Arabidopsis thaliana: one gene and its partners. The protein of the gene in region 2 purifies or fractionates together with the protein of the main gene of each other region. This does not show direct contact. Each region holds a gene or a part of one and is shown on either strand. Other genes may lie near its edges.

Evidence for each region.
Region 1: the proteins of PDE312 (region 2) and MURE fractionate together in Arabidopsis thaliana (co-fractionation; one large-scale study listed by BioGRID). This does not show direct contact.
Region 3: the proteins of PDE312 (region 2) and FLN2 fractionate together in Arabidopsis thaliana (co-fractionation; one large-scale study listed by BioGRID). This does not show direct contact.

What each region holds. Positions count from the first base shown.
Region 1 is NC_003070.9:23,612,684-23,618,428, forward strand, and holds MURE (ALBINO OR PALE-GREEN 13), read left to right. Parts: upstream 1-1,656; 5' UTR 1,657-1,777; coding exon 1,778-3,638; intron 3,639-3,750; coding exon 3,751-3,867; intron 3,868-3,955; coding exon 3,956-4,131; intron 4,132-4,268; coding exon 4,269-4,414; intron 4,415-4,545; coding exon 4,546-4,564; 3' UTR 4,565-4,733; exon of another isoform or gene 4,734-4,875; 3' UTR 4,876-5,229; downstream 5,230-5,745. UniProt on the Arabidopsis thaliana protein: Involved in chloroplast biogenesis. Required for thylakoid membrane development. Seems to be required for plastid-encoded plastid RNA polymerase (PEP)-dependent gene expression.
Region 2 is NC_003074.8:17,960,410-17,966,147, reverse strand, and holds PDE312 (Nucleic acid-binding, OB-fold-like protein), read right to left. Parts: upstream 3,986-5,738; 5' UTR 3,940-3,985; coding exon 3,211-3,939; intron 3,120-3,210; coding exon 3,060-3,119; intron 2,966-3,059; coding exon 2,936-2,965; intron 2,858-2,935; coding exon 2,784-2,857; intron 2,644-2,783; coding exon 2,401-2,643; intron 2,280-2,400; coding exon 2,213-2,279; intron 2,128-2,212; coding exon 2,035-2,127; intron 1,922-2,034; coding exon 1,745-1,921; intron 1,668-1,744; coding exon 1,617-1,667; intron 1,380-1,616; coding exon 1,228-1,379; intron 1,158-1,227; coding exon 740-1,157; 3' UTR 535-739; downstream 1-534. Other genes in the region: AT3G48490 (uncharacterized protein), read right to left, coding at 4,348-4,616, 4,717-4,810.
Region 3 is NC_003070.9:26,014,141-26,018,979, reverse strand, and holds FLN2 (fructokinase-like protein), read right to left. Parts: upstream 2,957-4,839; coding exon 2,916-2,956; intron 2,668-2,915; coding exon 2,333-2,667; intron 2,251-2,332; coding exon 1,598-2,250; intron 1,518-1,597; coding exon 1,046-1,517; intron 959-1,045; coding exon 615-958; downstream 1-614. Other genes in the region: AT1G69210 (Uncharacterized protein family UPF0090), read left to right, coding at 1-7, 98-397; AT1G69190 (Dihydropterin pyrophosphokinase / Dihydropteroate synthase), read left to right, coding at 4,271-4,274, 4,399-4,839. UniProt on the Arabidopsis thaliana protein: Required for proper chloroplast development, most likely through regulating plastid-encoded polymerase (PEP) dependent chloroplast transcription.

The DNA of each region.
Region 1 (5,745 bases), on a different chromosome or scaffold from region 2:
AAGAGCTTATAAGATGATATATTTCATAGTGAGAACGATAAAGCGTAGTTGTATTTGTTAAAATATCCAGTGTGAAGTGTTACATTATAAATGATGAATGTCTATCAAGTTTTCCATACATTTTTTTTCATAAGATCAAGAGAAAATAAAGAGAATTATATCTTCTTCTTTTTTAAAGAAAACACAATTAAGAGATAAATAATTAAATCATGTACATTATAGCATGTGTAGGTCACGTGTTATGAAAATGGGCTGAAGAAAGTGTAGAAGTGAGGCCCAAGACGAAGGGACCACAAAGGGTGTATTAAACCAACTCAACTGTACATGGCGGTGGTCGGTCCACGTTCCAAATTAAAGTGGCCATGTGGTTTTATCGTCTTCTATCAACGACCAAAATACGGCTCTCCAAATAAGAGAAAAACAAATACAAAACTACGTTATACTACTAACTGACTTTAGTGCAAAAAAACTTAATATAACTTAGGCTCTTAATGATCATGTACATGGCGGGACAGATTTGTATGCATAGCAGATAATATAATATCAAAAATCATGAAATTTTGGATGCAATTCCATCTCTTTTACACCCATTTCTCTACTAGGGCGTTAGAAAGTCTAACATTAGAAGTTGGACTTTAGTTACTCAATGCCAATTAGAATCTAAACTTCGGCCAACTATAGATAAAACCATTAGCTTTTTACAAAATCAAGAAATAAAATCAACCTCTTATGTCAGAAAACCAAGAGCCATCAATCTTTTTCTTCTATAAACAATTCAAATAAAACGTTTGTTTGGTTCTCTGCAACAACATAGCAAATTAGCAATCATTAAGCAATTTTGTCTACTCATCAAACAAAAATATTTCTCTGTAACGAAAAAAAGATAGTGGGCTAATATTATGGGCCATGAGACTGCCTTAGAAGCCCATCCTTTCACTACACACTTTGTAATATACATTAGAAACCCTATAAATTAATACTCGATAAATTAATAAACACGATAAATTAATAAATTTTGCCGGTCGAAGTCGGGCCAATGTAAAAATTAACGAAAATCGATAAGATAATAAAATAATAATTTTTTGAAACCCCTATGTAAAAATATAGTCCCAATAATATCATAAATTAATAATCATAAATCTTAAGCATACATTCTAAGACTAATTTTATATGAAACTTTTATTCAAGCTACAATTGCAACTCTTTTTAGAATAGAGTTGGTATGATCTCTTTTATACTCACATAATTCTTTGCGTATTTGATCCGTCATATTTGGTTTTGTAACATTTTTTCTATGAAAAACCATTGCTAAGATTTTTGTAAAGAAAAATTGATTTAACCTCCACGTTAACGTCGTAGATATAGAGACACTATATCTTGCAGAAAAATAAATTTAAAATATCAAAAATAAAATTAAAGATCTAACATAATTGAATATACAAATAACAAAATATGAGAAAAATACTAAATCGGAAAAGCATTTTTAAAATAATTTAGTATTGTGTTTTACGTTAATATTCTATTAATTACTATTTATTAATTTATAAAATAAATTAATATTATTATAAATTAATAAAAATTTATAGTCCAATCATTATTAATTTATAGAGTTTCTCCTGTACATATCTTTTAATCGTTTTTAGTACACACTGCACCGTTTTATCGGCGTCTTTGATTTCTTTAAACGCATCGTTTGTAACCCAAAAATGAAAAAACCCAACTCTTATCCCCTGGAAAAAACCTTTCACTGCTTGCTTTCTCAGTCTCTCTGTCTCCAATGGCGTTCACCTTTCTCTCTCCTCACCCAGTCTTTCTCTCTCTAACTGGAACAACCTCTTCCTTCTCCTACAAACCAGTTCTCTTACCATTCTCTCGAAATTCCCGTACTCTCACGGTTGCGGCGGGACCTGCTCGCCGGAATTCGTACCCGAACCCTGCTGATGACGATCCACCTGAAGCACCGGAGGATTCAATGCACGGAGTTTCGAAGTTTCAGCAGATCCAGCGTCAAGCTGCTCGTGCACGGAAGCTAGAGGAAGAAGATTTCGAGAAGAATCGGAACACTTATCTCTCCGCTATCGCCGATGTGGAAGACGCGGCGGAGACGGGACGAGATGACGAAGAATCTGGTGGAGACTTGTTCTCTGATATCGATAGAGCAATCTCCATGAAACGTAGTGAGTTTGTTAAGCAAGGATTGCTCAAACCTAATCCTCCCAAAACGGCATCGCTTAAGAAGATTGGGGAGGAGGGAAATGAGGAAGAAGGTGATGTTACTGACGATGTTGATGAGCTTGATGAAGAAGAAGTTGTTGATTTGGATGAAATTGATAAATTAACTGGATTAACAGAGATTTCTGATGAAGAAGATTGGGTTGATGAGGAAGGTAACACTAGGATCAACAAGAAGAAGGAGTTTGGGTCTGATCATCAATTTGAATTCGATTTGGATGATTTTGGTGAATCTAAAGCGAGAATCGTGGAACCTAAGTTCAAAATGTGCTTAGCTGAGCTTTTAGATGAGAGTAAAGTGGTACCAATCTCAGTTTACGGCGATTTAGATGTCGAAATCACCGGGATTCAACATGATTCGCGCGGTGTGAGCGCCGGAGATCTCTTCGTGTGTTGTTTAGGAAGTGAAAATTTCTTGAGTGAAGCAGATAAGAGAGGAGCAGTGGCGGTTGTAGCTAGCAAAGAGATTGATATTGAAGATACTTTAGGTTGCAGAGCACTTGTCATTGTTGAAGATACGAATGCAGTTTTAGCAGCTTTAGCTTCTTCCTTTTATAGGCATCCCTCGAAGAACATGTCGGTGATTGGAGTTACTGGTACGGATGGGAAAACGACTACTACGTATTTGATTAAGAGCCTCTATGAAGCGATGGGTGTGAGAACAGGAATGTTTAGCACAGTTTCTTGTTATATTCATGGCGATAACAAATTGGATACGCCTAATGCTACGATGAATCCTGATGCTGTTTTGGTTCAGAGTTTGATGGCTAAGATGTTGCATAATGGAACTGAATCTTTGGTTATGGAAGCTTCTCCTCAAGAACTTGCTTTAGGGAAATGTGATGAAGTGGATTTCGACATTGCGGTTTTCACAAATTTGACTAGAGAAAATACGGATTTTCGTGGTACTGATGAAGAGTATAGAGATGCTGAAGCCAAGTTGTTTTCAAGAATGGTTGATCCGGAAAGGCATAGGAAAGTGGTTAACATAGATGATCCAAACGCAGCATTCTTTGTCCAGCAAGGGAATCCTAATGTTCCTGTTGTGACATTTGCCATGGAAAACACCAAAGCCGATGTTCACCCGTTAAAGTTTGAGCTTTCCTTGTTTGAGACACAGGTTTTGGTTAATACCCCTCAAGGTATACTGGAGATCTCTTCGGGTTTGTTAGGACGGCATAACATTTATAATATTCTTGCTGCTGTGGCTGTTGGGATTGCTGTTGGAGCTCCTCTTGAGGATATTGTTAGAGGTGTTGAGGAAGTCGATGCAGTCCCAGGAAGGTGTGAGTTGATTGATGAGGAACAAGCTTTTGGTGTTATTGTGGATCATGCAAACACACCTGATGGCTTGTCAAGGCTGCTAGATTCAATTCGAGAGCTTAAACCGAGAAGAATCATTACCGGTATAGATATTTTCTTCCATCTAATAGATACTCTTTGCCTGTTCGGCCGTTCCTATGGTCTTTATATGTGTGGTCATCTGATTATTTTAGTTGTTTTATTTATTTATTGAAGTTATTGGTTGTGAGGGTGAGAATGAAAGAGGGAAAAGACCGCTTATGACGAAAATTGCTACTGAAAAGAGCGATGTGACGATGTTGACATCTGATAATCCGAGGAATGAAGATCCATGTAAGTAACTCTAAGAATTAGATTGAGTCTATCTCCCTTGAGTGTTTCTGGAGGTATATTAACAGTTAATTTTCCAATGTGGTTTTAGTGGACATCTTGGATGACATGTTGTCTGGGATTGGATGGACGATGCAAGAGTATTTGAAACATGGCGAACACGATTACTATCCGCCTTTGGCAAATGGTCATAGACTCTTCCTTCACGATATTAGACGTGTAGCTGTACGTTGTGCTGTTGCTATGGGTGAAGAAGGTGATATGGTTGTAAGTATTCAAATAAACCCACACTCTATACAGTACTTTACTGAGTGTGTTATCAAAGTTGCTGGATTTACCTTTATGAGCAATCAAAGTAATATAGTTCTCGGGTAAATAGCTTTGCTTGACACTGATTTTTGCAGGTTGTAGCTGGGAAAGGGCATGAAGCGTATCAGCTTGAAGGTGAAAAGAAAGAGTTTTATGATGACAGAGAGGAATGTCGGGAAGCATTACAATACGTTGATGAGCTTCACCAAGCTGGAATAGACACAAGCGAGTTCCCATGGCGGTAAGTAGAACCGTAACAGCTAAAACAACCAACGATAACCAAAGTTTCTAATCTGTGAAGAGTTGCTGAAACTTGTCAAGATGCTTCACGATCACTAATCTGTTCTTCCTTGTATTACTGTGCTTCTGCAGGTTACCAGAGAGTCATTAATATCTCTGTGGTGAAATCATTAGAAGAGAAGTTAGCTTAGTCCATGAAACCAGATTTTCTTCCACCATGGTCCAATTCTCTTGCGAAGATCGATTTGCACAGAGGTAATGAATTCTACACAAGTGACATAAAAATCATGCCCAAGGAAAAGAGATTACACCACTGGGAGGTACTTAACGTTCCAATCACCATTACCTTAAAGTTATTCCATTGCTCACTTCACCTGTTTTTTTGGACAAGAGGAAACCTAAGCTATCGAAATGTAATATTAGACTAAACTTAATTCAGATTTTCTGTCATTGTTACCGCAGGAGGAAGATTTTAAAGGTGGAAGAAGATGCGTACAAATTTTGTAAGGGTTAAAAACCCAAAAATGTAAGTGGTTCTGTTTTGGGTATGTTTTGATAGCATGTGTTTAATTTAGATGAACCAATTCAAACCGAACCAACAAAAATAGATTCCGGTTTAAATTATTTATTTTCTTACATGTATCCAAACTTGAAAAAAGTGAATTCAAAGAAAAAAGAAAACGATGAAAATACGGTTTCAATTTCTTAATATGAAAAATTGAGAAAGTAGGAAGACATGATTGAACAATAATAAGATTAGGCCTTGTGATATATTGTGACAAGAACATAAATTACGAATGTTTGGCAATGGTGCTAGGGAATATAGTCTTTTGAAACTATTAAGCATACTTTGAATTTTATATTCTGGTTATAAATTAAAAGATTTCCCAATATCCATTCGTATTTTTGGGACCACTCCACCAAAACCAATCTAATCAAAATATAAAACCAAATAAATAATAATTTGCTTAGAGATAGAAAACATGTTATGTCCGAGGAAATTGTCCTAAATGTCGCAACAAACGTCAATTCATTAATCGTTTTGTTTAATACAAATTTCGACAAGATTGTGATAGATCCAGAACCAGTTTAGCTAAACCGGTTGAATCAGAAGAAACGCCAAAACCCGGTCCAATAGCTCGACCTAACGCCGTCGTTTTCAAAGTTCCTTCACTCTACTTCCTTCTCGCTTACGTCACTTTCCACAGATCCAACAATGATATCAGATAAAATTAAAATATTCCCAATATATTTTCTAAGAATATCTCCCTATTTATTTTTATTTATTTAAACTATTTTAATCTCTTCCGTGTTTCACTCTTCTCTCTCTCT
Region 2 (5,738 bases):
CAAAGAAGAGCGAAAACCCTTAACGAGCATATACAACTCGGAGCACCTCTTTTCTCTCGCTCTCTTCCTCTTCAAGGTTTATATTTATAACTTCTTTTGCTGCTCTCAACGAACTCTTCCAGGCTAATAAACCGTCTCTGTTTTCATCTTCTCCGTAGCTGAGATAGCTCCATACCCTCTCCGACCCAAGTAAACTGATTTTCCATGTTATGGAGATTTGGTTCTCTAACTTATTGCTTTAGAGTTTTGATGTCATTGTACAAGTTTAATGCTATTATTTTTGTGAATTAGGTACAACCTTGCAGAGTAGCTTTGGTAAGAGTTTGCCTTAAGAGTTTTGTCATCAAAGAGCACACATGGTGTGAAGTTTTTGGTATACACGGAGAGATGACAAGGGTTTTTGATATTCCAGGTACGAACGAGAAAGCCTTTTGATAGAAGTTGATGTTTTGGAGCCCAAACAGAAGAAACAAGAGAAACATTTAGGCGTATTTTGCGGTGTCAAGACTACCTTCTCTGACGACGATTGATAGAAAAAACAAAAAACGTCACGTTCCTAACGTTCAACGGTGTACTACAAGATCCCAAACGTCTGGCTAAGTTAATAAGAAACTGATTTTACTATCTCCGGGATAAGAAGAAATGAAAAAAAAAAACTATCAAATAGATCAAACCTAACAGACAAAAATTCAAATAAATCAACCTCGACAATTTCTTATTTTTACTTTCCTTTTAAACATCAGTCTGTCAAGACTTGAGTACCGTTAACAAGAGGTTGCTGTTCCGAGTAACCGATACTGCTCTCATCACTCAGAATGCTATAGTCAAAATCGTCAAAATCATCGTCATCCTCTTCTTCTTCCTCTGACTCTGTTTCTTCTTCTTGACTCGCCAAGGTAGACCCTTCTTTTCTTTTCTCTATTGTCTGCTTAATCGCATCATCGTAAGACATGTCATACCACACATTGCCTTTCCCAACAATGGATTTGTTGTGTGCATCCTTCATTCTCTCTTGCTTGCTAATCTCTGAGTTCTTTGGCTCTCCCCAGTAGTCATACTGATATAATGCACTTGTTGGATCGTACTGGTCTTTCCCAAAGAAGCTTCCTGGCTTGTACCTCCCTGGTTCCTCCAATGGTAAACCAAGTGCTTGCCGACTGCAAAATAAATCTTCTTCATCTAAACACTTTCTTTGAAAAACATCAAAGTGAACTTTTTTTTACTTACGAGCTGATATCTCTGAGCAATGCTTCTCTTTCCTCCAAAGATCGGCGCCAGTGTAAGAAATCATACTCGTCCATCTCTATATTTCGTCTGAGCTTGTCAATTTTGTATCCTTCTCCTCTTGCTTTAGCTTCCATCATTAGTTTATTGTGGTGCTGCACAAGACAACAGGAGAGTATTGAGTTATTAACCACTATCAGTATAAAAGATTCATACAACAATGTGTCAATTACAAAGTGCAAAGCCTTAAAATGGAACTGTGACGACAATCGGAGTTACCAAGACAGTGTGAAGTGGAAATCTATTAAAAATAAACAAATACAAACGAGAATATTTCCGTAGCAGTGGGTTAAAGGAAATTGGTGACGACAAGTAGGGAAGAGAATTTAAACCTGGCGCTCGGTCAATGCAGCCTCTAAGTCAAGTTCCTTGACACTGGTTTTCTGCCAGAAATAGAACACATTTAATCACAAAGCTTAAGACAGTATGGTTTCACGAACACACCAGAAGAAACTCTCACCAGAATCACTTTTGGCAATTTGGTTTTCTTATAATAAGCTTCGCCATACTCGATATCCTTTTGTTCATCAAAGTCTTCATCATCAGATAATTCTGATAGCTTTTTGCCTTCGTATTTTGCAGGGTTAGCTTCGTAATCACCCAAAATCATTTGCTCAGCTACATGTATCTGCCACAACTGCAAACGGGAAAGAAATGTGTTGACGGTTTCACAAAATTTAGAAAGCCAATAAACCTAATGAGTAAACAAAGCAAAAATCACATAACCAACCCTTTTGCTCAGGAAAATACCTTGTCGACATAAGGGTGATCAGAGAGCAGCCCTTCCTCCTCTGGCTTTGATCCTGGATCTTTTCTAGGTTCAGGAGGTCTTCCACAATCTCGCTGTACAAACAATGTATTAGATAAGAGGGAGACTCTTCACGAGAACACGAAATGGATTGATATTCTAGGAAAGGATTCTACTGACCCGTATCTCATCTGGATTAGTATCCCCATCACGATGGAATATTGGTGGGAAGTCAAATTTATTAAATCTGGAGCAGGAATGTAAAAACAGTCAACACATATACCATAACCAAGACCATTGAGGACAGAACCAAAATGCCAATTTTTACTGGATATGTAAAGAGAATTAAATACGTGTGAATTACATACATCATGTGATCTATGTTAGGATGGACGAAGCGCAACTCCAAGGGAAACCGAAACCGGTATGGATCTCTTTTTGCCTGAAAGAACAAAAGAAAAAGGAGAATGAAGCAATTTCCATTCAGATTTTTATAAATGCGAAAGAAGAATATGTGCCTTAAGATTACCGTGATTTCAACGATAACATGCATCCCAACTTTTATGAAATGCCGGATCCAAAACCAGTCATTACCTTTTATAGGTACCCATCTGCAAACCAATAGACACATAAACTTACATCTTTCAAAAAAAGCATATGAAACAAGAGACAACATTATATTACGTTATATACCCTAAATACAAGAACCACGGTAAGTCTATCTTTACAAAGTAAAGAGACATAAACATACCCTTCATGAACACCTCCAATGTCAACAAACGCTCCCTGATACAGATGTAAAGTGGTAACTGTGCCTTCACAAACCTGCATGGACATTACGATATTGCTCATTTAAACCAATCATTAGTTACAATATACAAGGCTTAGAATAAGAATTCTTACCATCCCTGGATAGTAAAAGGGAAGCTCATACTGCACAAAGAAAAATAAAGCAATTAACTTACAAACAGTTCATCATCTAGCAAACTAATCAAACAATCAAATCCAGTAGCATAATAATATTTACCATCCCATCTTCGTAATCCTTCCCTCTTTTCCTCCTACCCGGATAAAAATCCTGATCGAGCTGTATAAATAAAAACATCATCTTTATTAGAATCCTTCTCTTAGCCACCACTAAGCTAACAATATCTCATTGTTCAAAAAAAAAAACGAACCTTGTAAGATTCTTCCTCCAACCTATCTTTATTATCTTCAACCCATTCCTTGTATTGTTTCAAGAAAACCTTAAACCTCTCCAAACACATCTTATCAACAGTAGCATCTTCACCAACTCTCAAATCCTTATCCAAATCCTCAAGCCAAACTCTTTCAGCCATTAACTTATGAGCTTCCCTAATAAACTCCAGCTCCTTCCTATCAACTTCCCAACCTCTGGGAGGCCAATCACGCGGCGGAATTTGCCTAAGAACCATCGGACCAGCCCAAGATGTTTCTAAAGGAGGTGGTTTATCACCTCTAATCTCAAATTGCTTTGCATACCATTCGTCTTCTGTTATCCCCATCTCCTTAATCTTCTTCTTCCTATACGATGGTCTCAGCATCTTAAACGCTTCGATCGCTTCCGGCGATTGAAGCGGAACTTCTTCACCTTCGTTGAGAGATTTACGAGCGAAATCAGCTTCTGGTGTGAGAATCTCTTCCCATGGAGCCCAACCACGTTCGATCCAGTTACGTCGTCGAGCTTCATCTTCTGTGTCTTTGTCCTTTGGTCCGAATTTCTCGAGGAAGGTTTCGTCGACTGGGAATTCATCGGAGCTGAATCCACGACAAGGCAGCAAGGATATGCGACGAGGCGGTGACCATTGAAGAGCTTTGGGTTTGCAGAAATTAGGGTTTGTGGGATTAGGGAAAGTGAAATTGAGCTTGGTTTGGCAAATCTGCATGATTCATTCGTCACTCTTCAGGGTTTTTGAAGGTTTAAGAGAGAGTGAAGAAGTTGAGTATGGATAAGCTTTATTTCATTTTACAGTGAAGAAGAAATGTTAAGTTTTTTTTGATGAACCCTTATATTTATCCAATATATTGTTTTGACCCCAAATGTTTTTGATTGATCAGTTAGACCCATTTTAATATAAGGTTTAGACGTTTAGTTATGGATGAACCCCTACATGACCAGTACTATCAACACCGTTGGTTAAAGATCATAAAGCTTGTTTAGGCTAAAGTAATAAACACATGATTGAGAGATGTTTTGATACAGGCATCTATATAGACTCCTTACTAACAATGTAGTTAAATTGTACATAATCAAAGTACAACACACATGAACTTGGGATACATTTGTTTACAAATCATTCCTGAGTCTCTGTCTTCATGTTTCGTGCTTGAGCTTGATTCTTGTACTTGCTAAACATGGATAGTACTGATGGGTTCTTGCTCTTTATCTGTTTCGAGCTTTCACACGAGTCTATAGCCATTGCATCATGAGTGTCTCCTAATTGTGTATCCGAAGACAAGACATGAGACGATGATGTTGATGACAGATTCTCTTCACCTTCTGTTTCTGATGAAGTAGTGTCCTGTCTTGTTGACCCTTGCTTAAGTTTCAACAGTGTTGACTCTACAATGCCATCAAAAGAAACCAAGGATTTCAAAACCTAGAGATTTCTATTGGACAATCAGAATCACATGAAAATGGAAAGAGTGTGTATTTATTATACCGTAGACGGAGAGAGGATCGTCTTTGATGATCTTCGCCGGATATCTCTCCAGACAATCCGGCGGCGACGGCGGTGGTCTCAGCCTCCCAAACATACGTCTCTCTCTCTCTCTCTCGAGTCAATTAGATCTGATCGTCTTCTTTGAATTGACAATCTGAAAGATGACAACATATAATCGATTCTTTGTGTTTTGGCGCCTCGATCGATAAAAAAGAGCGGGAACCTGAGACCAACAACGGCCCAAATAAATGCTGTTATAATGGGCCCTTCGCTCTTATTATGATTTTATCATTAATCACGTTTTTCATTATTATAAACCAAAAAAACTTTTTATATAAAATAACTAAAATAGATAAAATTTCCATCAAATCTAGTATTAATAGAGAAAATATATTAAACGTAAATATTGTTTAGGATATTAACTTTTTATTTATGAACTTGTTTTAGGATAATTGATTATTTCAGAAAATTACAATACTAAATAGCATGAAAAGATATAATTTGATCAAATCTCTTACTGTTTATTATGTACACATATATTAAATTTATAATCTACTTTTTTTTTACATACCATTATGTTACGTAGATTTATCAGCAAAAGCTAGATATTATTGAGAAATAAATTTATGTGAAATTCAGTATTTAAATACACCTTAGTAAATCCCAATAACACATATGAATAAGAATATGTTTCTTCACAGATGATCTATGGACAATTATACTTGCACAATTACCACTAAAAATGATCACGACTTCTAAACTGGTTTGTAAGCAGTGGAAATCTATTATCGAGTCTCCACATTTTCGTGTCATGTTCATGTCTCTGCACCATTCTTCTTCATGGTCGCTCATGTGTAGGCGTTACAAGATAGAACTTGTGGCTCATCATAGATGCAACACTTGGGGATTTAATCGTACCAGTACTCTTACATCTCGTCTTTTATGACCGATAAATTCGAAATGAACATATACCGAGAAGCCAAAGTTGTTCCTTACAACACCGATATGGGGTTTATTTTGAT
Region 3 (4,839 bases), on a different chromosome or scaffold from region 2:
CCTTGAGGTCAAAAAGAGTCTTTCCCCAGTGAATCAACTCTCACTTGGTTCAGTTTTGTTACAAAATTTTGTTTCCGTTTTTTTTTTTTCTGTGTAGGTGTCATCTCCAGGAGCGGAGAGGCTACTGAGAGTCCCAGAGGACTTGCCCCGATTCAAGGATATGCCAATGACAGTAAGCTATGTAGAAGAAACAAACTCGAGGAAAGCAGTAAAGAGTGGAGTGTTCCTCTTGGAGTCTATAGATGCAGAATCAGATAACTGTGTCTGGAAATTAGCAGATGTAAGGGAGAACAGAGATCCCGAAAGCAAAGGCAGACCGTTAAGCCGGAAACAAAAGGACTTGAGAATCACACTGCCTTTCGCAGATCACAAGAAGATAAATCTCTACTTGGATTAGTTAAGTAGACGTAGAAGTAGAGTTGCTATTAAAGTAAGTTCATCGTCACTGCAGTTTCACATTGCTGTTTCCGGATAATTTCAAGTGATTTTGTATTAGTTGAGATGGTGAGTGAGATATCAAAACATATGACAAAAATTCACACTACTAAGATGTTGTAAGATGTGAACAGGAAAAAAAAGCTGACTAACAGAAACATTATCAAATCTTATGAAAATCATAAACTACCATCTTCAAACATTGAGCCAACAAGCTCTAACTTCTTGTACTCCCTTTCCTCTACTGGTTTCATAACGTATGGACCATCTGGTTCATCATAAGGCTTTGAGGTTCTGTATTCCTTCTCTGTTATCGATCTTATACCGTTTGGATCTGATTCCACTTCATCTTCTTCTTCATCATCTTCTTCTTCTTCCATGTCATCCTTTGGAGGATATCCTCGGGTTTGTGCCAGCAACCATTGATCAATAATACCACACTCAATTGCATATCTCGCTGTGCGTTCCAGGTACCCTTTATTGTTCATAAGATCTGGCTGAACCGTAAGCATTCTTATTAGACCTGAAATAGAGAGTAGTGTGGTTCAGTTAATCGCAAGCATAACTTCCAAATTGCTATGAAAAACAAATGACACAAGTGAAAATGTACCTGCAACGATGCCATCTCCAGATGCTGACATATCCCTTGTAAAAGGAGTAATGGGAACATCCTCCATTCCGGAAACAGCACCATTGTGCTCTTTGGTATAGTAATGGATCTTAGAAGTGCCATTGGTCACAAACAAGACCTTGAGATTTTCATGCCAAAGCTGTTCCACAGTTTCTGGCGGGTAATGGACAAACTTACTGATGTCATTGTTTTCTGTATCGAACTCTTCAGTAGGCTCGATTCCGCATAAGAATTCAAGTTCCTGTTTTGTGATTTCAATGACGTCTGCAAGATTCCACACTTCCTGTATGAAAGACTTGGTTTCTTCGCTGGAGTGCCATAGTGGTAAAGGGAGATTCAAGTCATAAAAAATGACATTGCCTAGTTGCTTTGATATCTTGATGGCTTGTATCGTAGTTGACATCATCTTCTTATCGAGTAGAGAATGCGTGCTGAAGTAGAACATTTTCGCCTGCACCAAAGTTAAGAGATTGGTGAACAAGAAAAAGAGCCAAAAACTCAATGTTCCAAATCTCCAGGACAATATATTACCTCTTTGAGCACATCAACGTTGATTTCAGATTTTGAAAGTGAATCCTCTGCACATGGCTTAATACAAGTCGATTTCAAGCGACCTCTCTTGCTGATCTTCATAGTAGAACACGCCGTAACCCTTTTACCATCAATCTTAACTGATCTAGTTTGGACTTTGCACACATTCAGATAATACAACATGGCTTGACCATAGTCATCAGCCCCAAGTTTGCCCATAAAAGCAACCTTACCACCCAAGCTTGCAAGAGCAATAGCAACACCTCCTGCACATCCTCCAGGAGCCCGGATATACTTCTCTGGAGCCCACTTTGCATCTCTCATCCGTTCGTGTAGTTCATAATCTAATAGCCTGTTTGCTGGCCTTCCCGAAGGCACAAAAGCATGTTGTGCAGATCCAAAGCAACACACGAGAGGAGGCCATCCATAAGTGTGACTAATATCTTCACCTTCATGTTTACTCAGATCAATCTCTTCTTCTTCACTCTCTGTATCAGTGCTTTCAACAGCCAATGCTTCCTCGACATCACTAACCTCAGCATCCATAATAGTAGCTAAATCATCCTCCACATCTTTATCTTTCTTAACAGTCCTCTTTCGTCTCACTTTCTTCTCGGTTTTTACTTCCTCCACATCAGAAGAAGCTGCTGCAGCTGTATATATGTCGAATTCAAATTAAGTACTCGTGAATCATCAAGTGAGAACCATCAGCTCAGAAATGGTAAAAGTCATTACCTTTCTTTCTAGTTCTTGTCTTTTTTGGTTTCAAAGCTGAGACAATGCTTTCCTTGTCTAAAACATCATCATTATCAACCAAAAATTCAGAAATTTCTTCTAATGGTTCATCCTTAACCACAACCTTCTTCTTCGTTGTTCTCTTAACACTTTTAGATGGTTTCTTTCCCACAACCGCACCGTTTCCATCATTACCTTCTTCTTCAAGAGGTGCTGACTCTGATAACTTTCTCCTACCAGCAGCCATAGAAAAGCTTTGTTTCCCATTCCATCTTTCACCTCTAAACTTCACAAAACCATGCGACTGGAGCAGACAAGGAACATCTGCATTGCATCTGCCAAAATCAAAGCACAGCTATGAGAAAACCATTACATCAAAATGTGAAATTTTCAAACAGAAAGACAAATATAGCCCTCAATTCAAATCATTGTTACTCCATTCTTCTGTAGAAAGATAAGATGAGCTAAACTTAAAGTTCGCACATTTTTGGGCAGTAAACTGGTTCTACGCCAAATCCATAGAAACCCATATACTAAAATTTCCTAAGGTTAGAAAACAAGAGAGAGAGAGAAGCAAAGGGACCTGGGGAATGATAAGAATTGGGTGAAGGAGAGAGACGCCATGAACATCAAATAAGAGCTCTTTTCCAAACGAAATTGTAGTAAAACTAAGCTCCGAAACCCATAAAGTCGAAAGAAGCGTAAACCCAGAAATGAACAAAGGAGAGCAATATGTTTATGAGTTTTGAGGGAGATTGGGGTTTAAGCTCTGAAACCGCAAGAGGAGCTAGCTGGGAGAGGATGAGGAGGAGGTTTAGCGCTTTAACGAAACGGCAAGCATTCTATGATCAAAATACTAAAACGTCAAGATGTCCCTATTCTGTCTACTATAATTTATTTACGGCTCATTTTTCTTCTTTAAAGCTAGTGAATTTAGTATTGTCTATATGACATTCTTTTAATGTAGGTAGAAATATTTGTTATGTAAAGTTTTTCGTGAAATCGTTTGCTATTAAAAAACTACTTCAAGGAAAATATTTTGTTGTGAAGTTAATTGGCTCATCATCACAAAGCTACAAAAAACTTACGATTAACTGAAATCATAATTACTATGATGATTTACGAGTAAATGATTTGATTGGCATAGAAATAATGCCTAAAGATGGTGTGATGAAAAACTTAATACAATTCTAACACGAGGATATATATATATATATATACTGTATATTTATTTATTTTTCGTCAAAAAATATAGACTGTATATATGTTATGGTAAAACGGCTATTTTTTGCTATATAGTGAAAATAATATCGTCTGGAGTTATAATAATTAGAATTTTGTATGGTTAATTAATTTCTATTGGTAATGTAACCATGAGTGCCTTGAGTGGAATGAAAGAAAATTGATGTAGTCAGAACAAATCTATGAAAATTTTGATATTTTTTAAAAATGGAATGAAATAGCTGGAGACTAACACACAATTTTCCATCATCTATCCAAATATATGTTTAAATGGTAAAAGATAGAATAGATAATGAAAAGAATTATGAGAGATTCACTACCAATTTCAAAATTATGAGAGATTCATTACCAATTTCAAAATCTCTCTAAAAACAAAGTTTTCTTCTCTTTTTTCTTTTCTTTTCTAGATCTTCATATCTAATTCAAAAGAGAAGCTGACTTTTGACGAGCGTGAAAGACAGAAGGTACTTGGATAACACAACAAGTTCAGAAAAAAAGTAGGTGAAAATTGGCTACCACCTTGCCTCTCTCATACATAAGTATTGTTTACTTCCTTGGTTCTTAAAATATTAGAACCCATTTTTTGTGTTTCTAATAATTGTTTCGTTGTTATCTAAGACTAAACTCATAGTTTTGTATACTTTAAGGTCAGATCGAAGCAGACAATACTGATATTTTGGAGGAACCTATTCTAAAATGGGTTCGTATCTTTTTCATCCGTTTCATTTTCGTTGAAAAAAACAGCGTTTACGTTTTGATACACTAATTTCTGTTAAGTATTGAATCATATTTCACCTTCGAAACATGTTTTGTATATGACTCAGATTTCACATCTTTGGAAACAACAACTTTCGAAGAAGTCGTGATAGCTTTGGGAAGCAATGTTGGAAACAGAATGAATAATTTCAAAGAAGCTTTACGATTGATGAAAGACTATGGGATCAGTGTAACCAGACACAGTTGTTTGTACGAAACAGAACCTGTTCATGTGACCGACCAACCAAGATTTCTCAACGCTGCAATAAGAGGTGTCACAAAGCTCAAACCTCATGAACTCTTGAACGTTCTCAAGAAAATTGAGAAAGAGATGGGTCGTGAAGAAAATGGTTTAAGGTATGGACCAAGACCACTTGACTTGGACATATTGTTCTATGGAAAGCACAAGATAATTTCTGATAAACTTATCATTCCCCATGAGAGAATCTGGGAAAGACCATTTGTTTTAGCACCTTTGGTAGATTTGCTTGGAACGGAAGATATTGATA